3 linked regions of the Macaca fascicularis genome follow. The protein of the gene in region 2 interacts with the protein of the main gene of each other region in a pairwise test. Links are inferred from orthologs where the notes say so. Each region holds a gene or a part of one and is shown on either strand. Other genes may lie near its edges.

Region 1 (3,111 bases), on a different chromosome or scaffold from region 2:
AGAATAATCTGCTTCCTGCCCAGCCTGGCTTCTGTATTAAGTAGTCGGTAATTTTGTAGCTATTGATGAGGGGTCTGAGGCACTTACTTTTTTTTACACTGACCTGGTGGTTCACGGGTGTGGAGATACCAGGGAGGAGGGGCTGTGTGAAAGTCAGAGCTGCTCTTTTTCCTGGTTTTATCCAGTCTGAGTCTCCCAAGGCAGAGACGTTTGGGAGTGAGAAGTGAGTGTGGATGGATCTAAATATATCTCTTCCCAGCCATTTTGAAAATGGTTTTCCCAAGTTGTGCTTTTTCTGAAACAGTTTTTTCTCTTTGTTACCAAATTATGCATGTAGAGTTAGACATTTCTGTACAGCCTTGCCTAGTGGCGTTAGTGGGGGCGGAGTCATCACTTGCCTTTCTTTCTTTCAGACCGGAACATGAACATTTTGCAGTACTGCCCCTCTTCCGACATCTGGACGCTGTTTGAAACATGTGACGTCCACATTCGCAAGCAGCAGATGGTGTCTGTAGAAGAGACCATCTACATCGTCGGGGGGTGTCTCCACGAGCTGGGGCCCAACCGCAGGAGCAGCCAGAGCGAAGACATGCTCACCGTGCAGTCCTACAACACCGTCACCCGCCAGTGGCTCTACCTCAAGGAGAACACGTCCAAATCGGGTCTTAACTTGACTTGTGCGCTCCATAACGACGGCATCTACATCATGAGCAGAGATGTCACCCTGTCGACCAGCTTGGAACACCGAGTGTTCCTCAAGTACAACATCTTTTCAGATAGTTGGGAAGCATTTCGGCGTTTTCCAGCTTTTGGACATAACTTGCTGGTTTCTTCTCTTTATCTGCCCAATAAAGCAGAAACATGACTGAATTGAATTAGTAGATGAAAGAAACCTGGTTCAAGATTTTTTTTAAAATGTGGTGTCCCATTCCAAGGGAGACCGATTCCTAAAGGGTAAAGAAGGGTTAAAGTAGGTCACATATATACAGTAGCAGCTGTAAATAAGCTTACTTGAATTAATTACTTGAAAACTGTTGGAAAAAAGAGACCAACTTTGTTATTTTTTAAATTATTGATTTTTAAATTATGGGAGCAAATCCATCTCCAGACATGATACTCGGGCCAATGACGGATCATCAAAATGTAGATTCATTGTGTCTGTGTGGTAAAGGGCCAAAGTCAATAATTGGAACAAATGGTAAAGATGATTTTAAAATCTGTTGTATTTAGGACCCTTGAGATGTCATTAGCACCTTAAGTGAGAGGTTTTCTTATCAATGTGCTTGACAAGCATTCATATTAACATACTCATTCTCTCTTCTCCATCACCCATACCCACACATACATCTAGTATGTTTAAAATAGGGTTCTGTGTTCAGATATTTTGTTTGCACACTACTTTTTAGGAAACTTATAATGATGGAGCCCTACAGTGAATCCTTACCAGTGTTCAGTCCTCCCCAAAACTTGGATAAAAATATTCTCAGCTATTTTTCCAGCCGTTTTTGCAGTTACAAATGCTGAATGAATAGACTGATGTAACCTTTTATTTTATTTATGTGACAGACTGCATATTTATGTGGACACATAGGTTGCATTGCTAGGCATTCTGTATGGTTTTAAAGAGGATATATTATTTAGAAAAATGGATATATGAATATTTTTAAAAATTGAGTCTTAAATTTAAATGGGAAGGGAAGAAAACACCAAATAAGAAAAAAATTTGCCTTTAAGAGTTACCTTTATTGAATGTATTTGACTTAGTTCTTATTTTAAGGCTAAAAACACTTTGTCATATTTAAGTCAGGCAACTTTCTAATTTAATCTTAGCTTTGTAATTCATGTTTTTGCTTTTGTAGACTAAGGTAAGGACAGCATTTAAATATTTGTGCTGGAGTGAGGGGAAGACTCTTACAGAAGTGGAATGGTTTCTGGTGGTATTTCTGAAGTTAGGTAAAGTGCTTTACTTGCCTTGGTTAATTGAAATAGAATTCAGCTCAAGCAGTTGTTTTCACTGAGTGAGTTAACAATAAAAGCTTCTGCCAATCATAGATCAACATTCCTCAAAATATACTCATACTTATGGAAATTTTATTTTGATTGAAAACACTCTGAAATTATGTGATATTTTGTGATGGAATCAGTTAAACTGTGAGCTGGATTCCATTTTTCTGCAGTAACAGCAGGCAGAACCATTTCAGTTAGCATGTGCCTCACTTTTAAGAAAGTCCCGTAGGGGGAGAAAAAACTGTCGGAACAAATTCATGCATTCAACAAACACTTACTGAGTGCCTGGAGTATGCCGTCCACTGTGCAGATGTAGGTAGGACAGGGGCTAATCACTTAGAGTTCTTCAGTTTATTAGCGGAGTCATTACAGGGTTTCTTTACAACCATGGCCTCTAGTATACTTAAAATAAGGGTCCAGTTATAAAAAGCCTATTTGCACAACTTTTTGGGAATACTTCTATTAACTAAAATGAGGTAAGCCATTATTTTGGACATAGAGATCTTTGTATCTTATCACCAAATAATCTTATCTCTAGTCTACTTAGAACTTTGTAAGGGTTTCTAAGCTGTGCCCATTTATTCCCAAATATTATGCCCTTAAAAAATAACCTCTGAACCAAAATCTTCCCAGGAATAGTACTTAATAGATTTTAATGTTAATTTATATTCATTGTAGAAATGAATTTCCAGTGACCTATAATTTCATTACATATATTTTAAAATTTAATTTATTTTAGATGATGTTAACTTTTTGTTGCTGAAAAGCTTAACGTTTTAAAGACTTAGTCCTATACATTTAGAAGATGAGTCAGTTGAATTAGTACTGGACAAACAGTTGGAGATTAGTTTGCACATAAGCACATCATATCAAATACAATATTCCAGCCAACTAGTTAATTATCTTCCTGATTACATTCATTGGGTCTGTTTGCCTAATGTTGACAATTAAATTCTTGGATCAAGTGGAGGTATGCTGTGATCCACAAAGCTCTTTTATAACCCAGGATTTGTGTGTGTGTGTGTGTGTGTGTGTGTGTGTGTGTGTTTGCATATTATAGCTCTCTTTAAGACAGACATCTAACAAGATTTTGTTATTCTGGGC
Region 2 (3,971 bases):
TGAGACATAGTCTTCCATCGGAGACAAACGCATGAGAAAATAATTCTTTAGGCTGATGTGAACTTCCTTCTCTCCATAATGGTATAATGGTATAATGTTGTCCTTGTAACAACACTTTAAAGAAGTGGGGGACTAGGCAGAGGATACTGACTATCTTGGTTCACAAGTAGGTACACCTGAGAGGACCAAGCCAGGGAAACAGGAGTTCTGTACGTGCAATACACTTTTTTGTGAGATGCAGTCTCGCTCTGTCACCCAGGCTGGATGCCAGTGGCGCAATCTCGGCTCACTGCAATCTCCACCTCCCAGGTTCATGCCATTCTCCTGCCTCAGCCTCCAGAGTAGCTGGGACTACAGGCGCCTGCCACCAAGCCCGGCTAATTTTTTGTATTTTTAGGAGAGACAGGGTTTCACCGTGTTAGCCAGGATGGTCTCGATCTCCTGACCTCATGATCCGCCTGCCTCGGCCTCCCAAAGTGCTGGGATTACACGCGGAAACTACTGCGCCTGGCCATAAAACACTTTATTAAACATAGAGGAAAATAACTGGCATGCAAGGATTTCTACCCAATCATCATTTGCCTTGAAGGACTTTTCACCCTTACCATGACAGCCTCCTGTGTGTGTGTGTGTGTGTGTACACATGTGTGTGTAAGTTGGGGTGGGGGAGAGTAGGGGGAAGGTGGCTGTGCCCAAGTGTCAGAGAGAGGCATATTGGACTCTAGGGTGGCATCCTGAATGCATTTTCCTACAGAACTGATGTCAAGTGGGTCACCTCAAAGGTTCATCTCATTCATTCACTCCCTTCAAGGCAATGGCCGATCTACCCTATATCCCATTTTAGAGATGCTCTGTGTTATCCACACACTCCATTTCTTTTACACTCCCCACCTCCAAGGGGTATGTATGCACATTCTGTCCATTTTACTCAAGAAACATGTTTCTTCTCTACTGCTTTGGCTTCAGTCCTCCTGACATTTCCACACTCTAGCAACAGCTCCCTCTTTGAACCACCGGAAAAGCCTGCTACCTGGCCCTCCTGCCACGTTATGTCCTCCATGTGTTGCAAGAAGCCTCTTCCTTAAGTCAATTTAAAAAAAAAATCACAAATACCTGCTTCAAATCTTTTCCCTTTCCTTTCATTCCCTACTTCTTTTTTCTTTCTTTTTTGGAGGGGGAATTATTGTTAATTGATAATATTTAATATTTAAACTCCTTAGATTCATATATGACTTCATACATTGGCTCCAACTAATTTTTTTCCAGTTTCATATCCTGGTACTCAAAGTCATGTACATTATTTTATTGCATAAAATGTCTCATCTTTCTCTAGAAATAACAGTCCTTGCCATAAATTCCTGCTTTTGTAACATGAAACGGCTTTCCTTTGGAGTGAGACCACTTTTCACCTGAAACATGCTCATCCTTCAACATCCAGCTTGTCTCCTCCTTAGGAAAACATCCTCTGTTCTGTTGGTGATACTGAAGGCAGTAAGTACCCTGAAAATGTCTTTGTAAAAGTTTTGCCTTTAGTATTGTGATTACCCATTCACCTGTCTATCCCTTTCCAGAAATGTGAGCTCCTCAAGGGCAGGCTCCAAGTCTGACTTTCCTACTGTGCACATACGATGGTACTTGCCACGCCAAGAAACAAATCCTTACTGTTTGGGGAAAAAACAAAAGTACAAAGAATACAACTCTAATATGAACAAAACGAATGATAATATGCTGTTTAGAAAGTATTGAAAAACCAGGCACATTGGCTCACACTTTGGGAGGCCGAAGTGTGGTGGATTGCTTGAGCCCAGGAGTCGGAGGCCAGCCCGGGCAACATAGTGAGACCCCGTCTCTATTAAAAAACAAACGAACAAAAAAACACAGCCCTGGCAACATAGTGAGACCCCATCTCTATTAAAAAAAAAATACAACAATTAGCCGGGCATGGTAGATTGTGCCTGTAGTTCCAGCTTTTCAGGAGGCTGAGAAAGGAGGACTGCTTGAGCCCACGAGGTCGAGGCTACAGTGAGCTGTGATCATGCCACAGCACGCCAGCCTGGGTGACAGGATAAGATCCTGTCTCAAAAAAAAAAAAAAAAAAAAATGTGTTGAGGTCATTTCTTTCATATCATGTGTTAAATAGGCTTCCAAGGGCTGGCCTTGAAACCTGACAGCTTTGAGCCATTGTGTTTCCATGGGAGTAGGCATTCTAGGTTCCAAACCGCGCACTTACAAATGGACTTTGGAACACAACGTGCTACCTCAAGGCTCCACCTGGCCACACGGCAGGCACTGAGGCTGGGAGGCAGCCCCCAGACAGATGAGTGTCCGCTCCTCTCTGAGAGGTGAATGAGCCCGAGGGGTCCCGACCTACGGAGTCGTGAGGAGCAGCGGCGCCAACGACGCAGGCCCGCCCCAGCCCGCCAGCGAGCCGCCCATGCCCTCTGCCCGCCTGGCCCGCCTGGGCCCTCGCCATGCTGATCACCGTGTACTGCGTGCGGAGGGACCTCTCCGAGGCCACCTTCTCCCTCCAGGTCAGCCCCGACTTTGAGCTCCGAAACTTCAAGGTCCTCTGCGAGGCGGAGTCCAGAGTCCCCGCCGAAGAGATCCAGATCATCCACATGGAGCGACTCCTCATCGAGGACCACTGTTCCCTGGGCTCCTACGGCCTCAAAGATGGCGATGTCGTGGTTTTACTGCAGAAGGACAATGTGGGACCCCGGGCTCCAGGGCGTGCCCCGAACCAGCCTCGTATAGACTTCAGCGGCATTGCGGTGCCCGGGACGTCCAGCTCCCGCCCGCAGCACCCAGGGCAGCAGCAGCAGCGCACACCCGCCGCCCAGCGGTCTCATGGCCTGGCCTCCGGAGAGACGGTGGGCGTCCCGCAAGGTCTGGGCAGCCCCGGCCTGATCCGCAGCATGCTGCTCTCCAACCCGCACGATCTGTCGCTGCTCAAGGAACGCAACCCCCCCTTGGCGGAAGCCCTGCTCAGCGGAAGCCTTGAGACCTTTTCTCAGGTGCTGATGGCGCAGCAAAGGGAAAAGGCCTTGAGAGAGCAAGAGAGGCTTCATCTCTACACGGCCGACCCCCTGGACCGGGAAGCTCAGGCCAAAATAGAAGAGGAAATCCGGCAGCAGAACATTGAAGAAAACATGAATATAGCGATAGAAGAGGCCCCCGAGAGTTTCGGACAAGTGACGATGCTCTATATTAACTGCAAAGTGAATGGGCATCCTTTGAAGGCTTTTGTTGATTCTGGCGCCCAGATGACCATTATGAGCCAGGCTTGTGCCGAGCGATGTAACATCATGAGGCTGGTGGACCGACGGTGGGCTGGGGTTGCTAAAGGAGTGGGCACACAGAGAATTATTGGCCGTGTTCATCTAGCTCAGATTCAAATTGAAGGTGATTTCTTACAGTGCTCTTTCTCCATACTTGAGGATCAACCCATGGATATGCTTCTAGGCCTAGATATGCTCCGGAGACATCAATGTTCCATCGATTTGAAGAAAAATGTGCTAGTCATCGGCACCACTGGCACGCAGACTTACTTTCTTCCTGAGGGAGAGTTGCCCTTATGCTCTAGGATGGTAAATGGGAAAGATGAGTCTTCGGACAAGGAAATTACACATTCGGTCATGGATTCAGGACGAAAAGAGCATTAAAGCACGTTATAAATATGTCACCACCTTGAGGGAGGCTCAGGTCCCCGGAAATTATACAGTAAGAGCTCACTGGCAATGTAATCATTAAAAATCATCAGTAACAACTAAACCTGGCCTTGGGACTACGTTCTCAGATGGGTAACTACATCAATCCTGATTCCTTGGTCTTGGTCCCTCTTCCATTTCCCTTGTCCAGAGATCACTGAAAGACATCCTGGGAAGGCTCTGGAGGCTCCAGCTGATTTCCAGATAATCCATGAAAAAGAAAACCAGCTTCTTCCTTTAGAGACACTATCCTATCAGATTACA
Region 3 (3,519 bases), on a different chromosome or scaffold from region 2:
ACTGTCAAAGTAGGGCCTGCCTGGGCCCTTTCCTGGCACTGCCATCTACTTCGGTGGGCAATCTTGGACATCAATTCCTAATTCATAGAATGGGGATTAAAACAGTGCCTATCTCAGGAGAGAATTGCAAGGATTTGTGAGATCATACAGTAAGTGCTCAATAAATGTTCCCTGTTCTTTCCTCATCAGTAAAATAGAAGTAATACCTGCTTAGCTGTGGCAATTAAATACAGTAACAGGCTGGGCATGGTGGCTCACACCTGTAATCCCAGCACTTTGGGAGGCTGAGGTAGGCAGATCACCGGAGGTCAGGAGTTCAACACCAGCCTGGCCAGCATGGTGAAACCCTGTCTCTACTAAAAAGACAAAAATTAGCCAGGTGTGGTGGCGGGTACCTGTAATCCCAGCTAACTTGGGAGTCTGAGGCAGGAGAATCCCTTGAACCCGGTAGGCAGAGGTTGCAGTGGGCCAAGATTGCGCCACTGCACTCCAGCCTGGACAACAGAGTAAGATTCTGTCTCAAAAAGAAAAAAGAAAAGAAAAAGTACAAAAACATTGTAACACATCAGGCAAATATATATATATATATCATTGTTAATATTTTGTGTCAGGGTCTTGCTCTGTTACCCAAGCTGGAGTGCAGTGGTGCCATCAAGGTTCACTGCAGCCTCCAATCCTGGGCTCATGATGCGATCGGATCTTCCTGCTGCAGCCTCCCAAGTAGCTAGGAGTACAGACGGTCACCACCACACCCAGCCAATTTCTTTCTTTTTTTCTGGAGACAGGATCTCACTATGTTGCCCAGGCTGGTCTCGAACTCCTGGCCTCAAGTGATTTTCCTGCCTTGGCCTCCCAGAGTTCTGGGATTACAGGCATAAGCCACCACACCTGGCCTTTTATTATTATTATTATCATTATTTCTTTTGATTCAGGGTCTCACTCTGTCACCCAGGCTGGAGTGCAATGGCACGATCTTGGCTCCCTGCAGCCTTGCCCTCCTGGGTTCAAGTGATCCTCTCACTTTAGACTCCTGAGTAGCTGGAATCAAAGGTGTGCACCACCATACGTGGCTAATTTTTTGTATTTTGTAGAGACAGGGTTTGCCACATTGCCCAGGCTGGTCTCAAACGCCTGAGCTCGAGCAGTCCACCCGCCTTGGCGTCGTAAAGTGCTAGAATTACAGGCGTGAGCCACCATGCCCGGCCATATCGTTATTTTTTATTGCAATTGTAAAACCTCCAAAGTTTGAGATGCTCGTTTAAGTCCAAATTGGGTTTTTCACATTTGTCCCTCATTACAGTGCTTCTCCAGAAAATTCAATGTATTTTCAAACCCATCGCCTCACGTGTCCTCACCCGTGTATCCATGAAGCAGTAAGCGCAGCCCTCCTCTCGCCCTTCTGCAGACAGGGAGCTTGTGAAGCAGTTTGCCCAAGATCACAGTTGGCCTCTGGGAGGGGCCCTCCTGAGTCTCCACGCAGACTGTGCCCTGGTCACTGTGCAAACTTCCCCCGCCAATAGCAGCTCCACCACCAGCAGGGACGACCCGGCCAGATGCCCTCTCCACATCTGTTCTAGCCCTCACATCTGAGACTCGACTCCTGGCCAAAGGGCTGCTTCCGCAAATTATCAGCTCTCTCTGATCACAAAGGGGACACATGAAGGGGCAGAACAACCTGGAAGAACAGGTCCAGGACACTCCATACATTTTCTGGGGATTCACTTAAGTTATGTAAGTTCTGATTGAGTCCATGCCCATGTCTCACATGATGTCCAACCTCGACAGGGAGAGGAGGTACAAAAGTCATTGTCGGCCGGGCGTGGTGGCTCACACCTGTAATCCCAGCACTCTGGGAGGCTGAGGCAGGCGGATCACCTGAGGTCAGGAATTTGAGACCAGCCTCCAACATGGTGAAACCCCATCTCTACTAAAAATACAAAAAATTAGCTAGCCGGGCGTGGTGATGGATGCCTCTAGTTCCAACTACTCAGGAAGCTGAGGCAAGAGAATCACTTGAACCCAGGAGGCAGAGGTTGCAGTGAGCCAAGATTGCACCACTGCACTCCAGCCTGGTCTCTACTAAAAATACAAAAAATTAGCCAGGAGTGGTGACAGATGCCTGTAGTCCCATCTACTCAGGAAGCTGAGGCAAGAGAATCACTTGAACCCAGGAGGCAGAGGTTGCAGTGAGCCAAGATTGCACCACTGCACTCCAGCCTGGACAACAGAGTGAGACTCCATCTCAAAAAAAAAAAAAAAAAAAAGCCGTCATTTTCCACACTGCAGTGCCCCAGCTAGGGCAGGGGGTCAGAGGGTGCATGAGAGCCTTGGGATCCCGTCTGACAGGCTGGAAGGAGGGTAGGGAAGGTCACCTGAGTGGTGCCAATGGCCTCGGGGGCAAAGCATTTCGCCTGGGCCAGTCTGCTCCAGGTAAGGCATGTCTGACACAGGAAAAGGGTAGTAGAAAGGAATGTGGCTCACCTGAGGAACATTTTCCCAACGGTAAGTAAAGCCACTGAGCCAGGACAGGGATGATGTGAGTATAGTGGGGAATGTGGACATGAGTTTGAAGAAGTGGGTGGGGGACAGTTCAGAAGTCTGGAATGCCCGGTTAAGGAGTTTCGCTTTGGCAGACAATAGGGAGCCATTGAATGTTTTCGAGCATGAGCATGACTTCATGAAAGCAGTATCTTGGGAGAATCAGAACAGTTTCAGACCAACTGGAGAGGATTTAATTTCAGATCAACTCATGGTTCCAGAACCTGAGCTCTTACCCTCTCAGCTATGACTAGAGCAGGCCCTGAAGAGGGTGTAGAGTTTGGGAAGGAAGCAAGAAGCGAGGAAGACAGGGGCCTGGGAGAGGAAGCCACCAGCCTGAGCAAGCCTGGCAGATAGACACGGCCAGACTTGGTAGGGGTGAGCCAGCTTGGCCAGAGCGAGGAGGGTCTATGCTGAGGTCTACGGATGGTAGTGAAAACAGTGATGGTGCAGGGGTGGGGGAGACTGGGGTCCACTTTTTCAGCCCCCACTGTCCTGGCAGCTTCAGGGTGGGCCCGAGGCAGCCTCCAGCTTCAGCGACCACCCCTGTTCCTCTTGCCAGGTTCTTTGTGAACTTCCCCTCGGCCAAGCAGTACTTCAGCCAGTTCAAGCACATGGAGGAACCCCTGGAGATGGAGCGGAGCCCCCAGCTGCGGAAGCACGCCTGCCGAGTCATGGGGGCCCTCAACACTGTCGTGGAGAACCTGCACGACCCCGACAAGGTGTCCTCTGTGCTGGCCCTTGTGGGGAAAGCCCATGCCCTCAAGCACAAGGTGGAGCCAGTGTACTTCAAGGTATGCGCCCCGATCTGCTGCAGAGCCACCACCGCCCACACCTCATGGCCATCTGCAGCTCGAAGGCTCTGGGAGGGCTCCCTGGGGCAGCAGAGGTGATCCCACGAGTGGCTGCGAGAGGGAGGGGCAGTGCCCGGCAGCAGGATGGAGGGGCTCAGTCCAGGGCAACCCTTGTCCTGAGAGCACT

Evidence for each region.
Region 1: the proteins of DDI1 (region 2) and KLHL42 interact in binary tests that used the Homo sapiens proteins (3 or more experiments, as listed by UniProt). The two-hybrid records come from large-scale screens. The link is inferred for Macaca fascicularis from reciprocal best matches to the Homo sapiens genes DDI1 and KLHL42.
Region 3: the proteins of DDI1 (region 2) and CYGB interact in binary tests that used the Homo sapiens proteins (3 or more experiments, as listed by UniProt). The two-hybrid records come from large-scale screens. The link is inferred for Macaca fascicularis from reciprocal best matches to the Homo sapiens genes DDI1 and CYGB.

The regions. Positions count from the first base shown.
Region 1 is NC_088385.1:30,541,804-30,544,914, forward strand, and holds part of KLHL42 (kelch-like protein 42), read left to right. Parts: intron 1-413; coding exon 414-865; 3' UTR 866-3,111. UniProt on the Homo sapiens protein: Substrate-specific adapter of a BCR (BTB-CUL3-RBX1) E3 ubiquitin-protein ligase complex required for mitotic progression and cytokinesis. The BCR(KLHL42) E3 ubiquitin ligase complex mediates the ubiquitination and subsequent degradation of KATNA1.
Region 2 is NC_088388.1:103,052,086-103,056,056, forward strand, and holds the start of DDI1 (protein DDI1 homolog 1), read left to right. Parts: upstream 1-1,156; 5' UTR 1,157-2,471; coding exon 2,472-3,662; 3' UTR 3,663-3,971. UniProt on the Homo sapiens protein: Probable aspartic protease. Seems to act as a proteasomal shuttle which links the proteasome and replication fork proteins like RTF2. Required, with DDI2, for cellular survival following replication stress.
Region 3 is NC_088390.1:82,981,669-82,985,187, reverse strand, and holds part of CYGB (cytoglobin), read left to right. Parts: intron 1-3,100; coding exon 3,101-3,332; intron 3,333-3,519. UniProt on the Homo sapiens protein: Probable multifunctional globin with a hexacoordinated heme iron required for the catalysis of various reactions depending on redox condition of the cell as well as oxygen availability.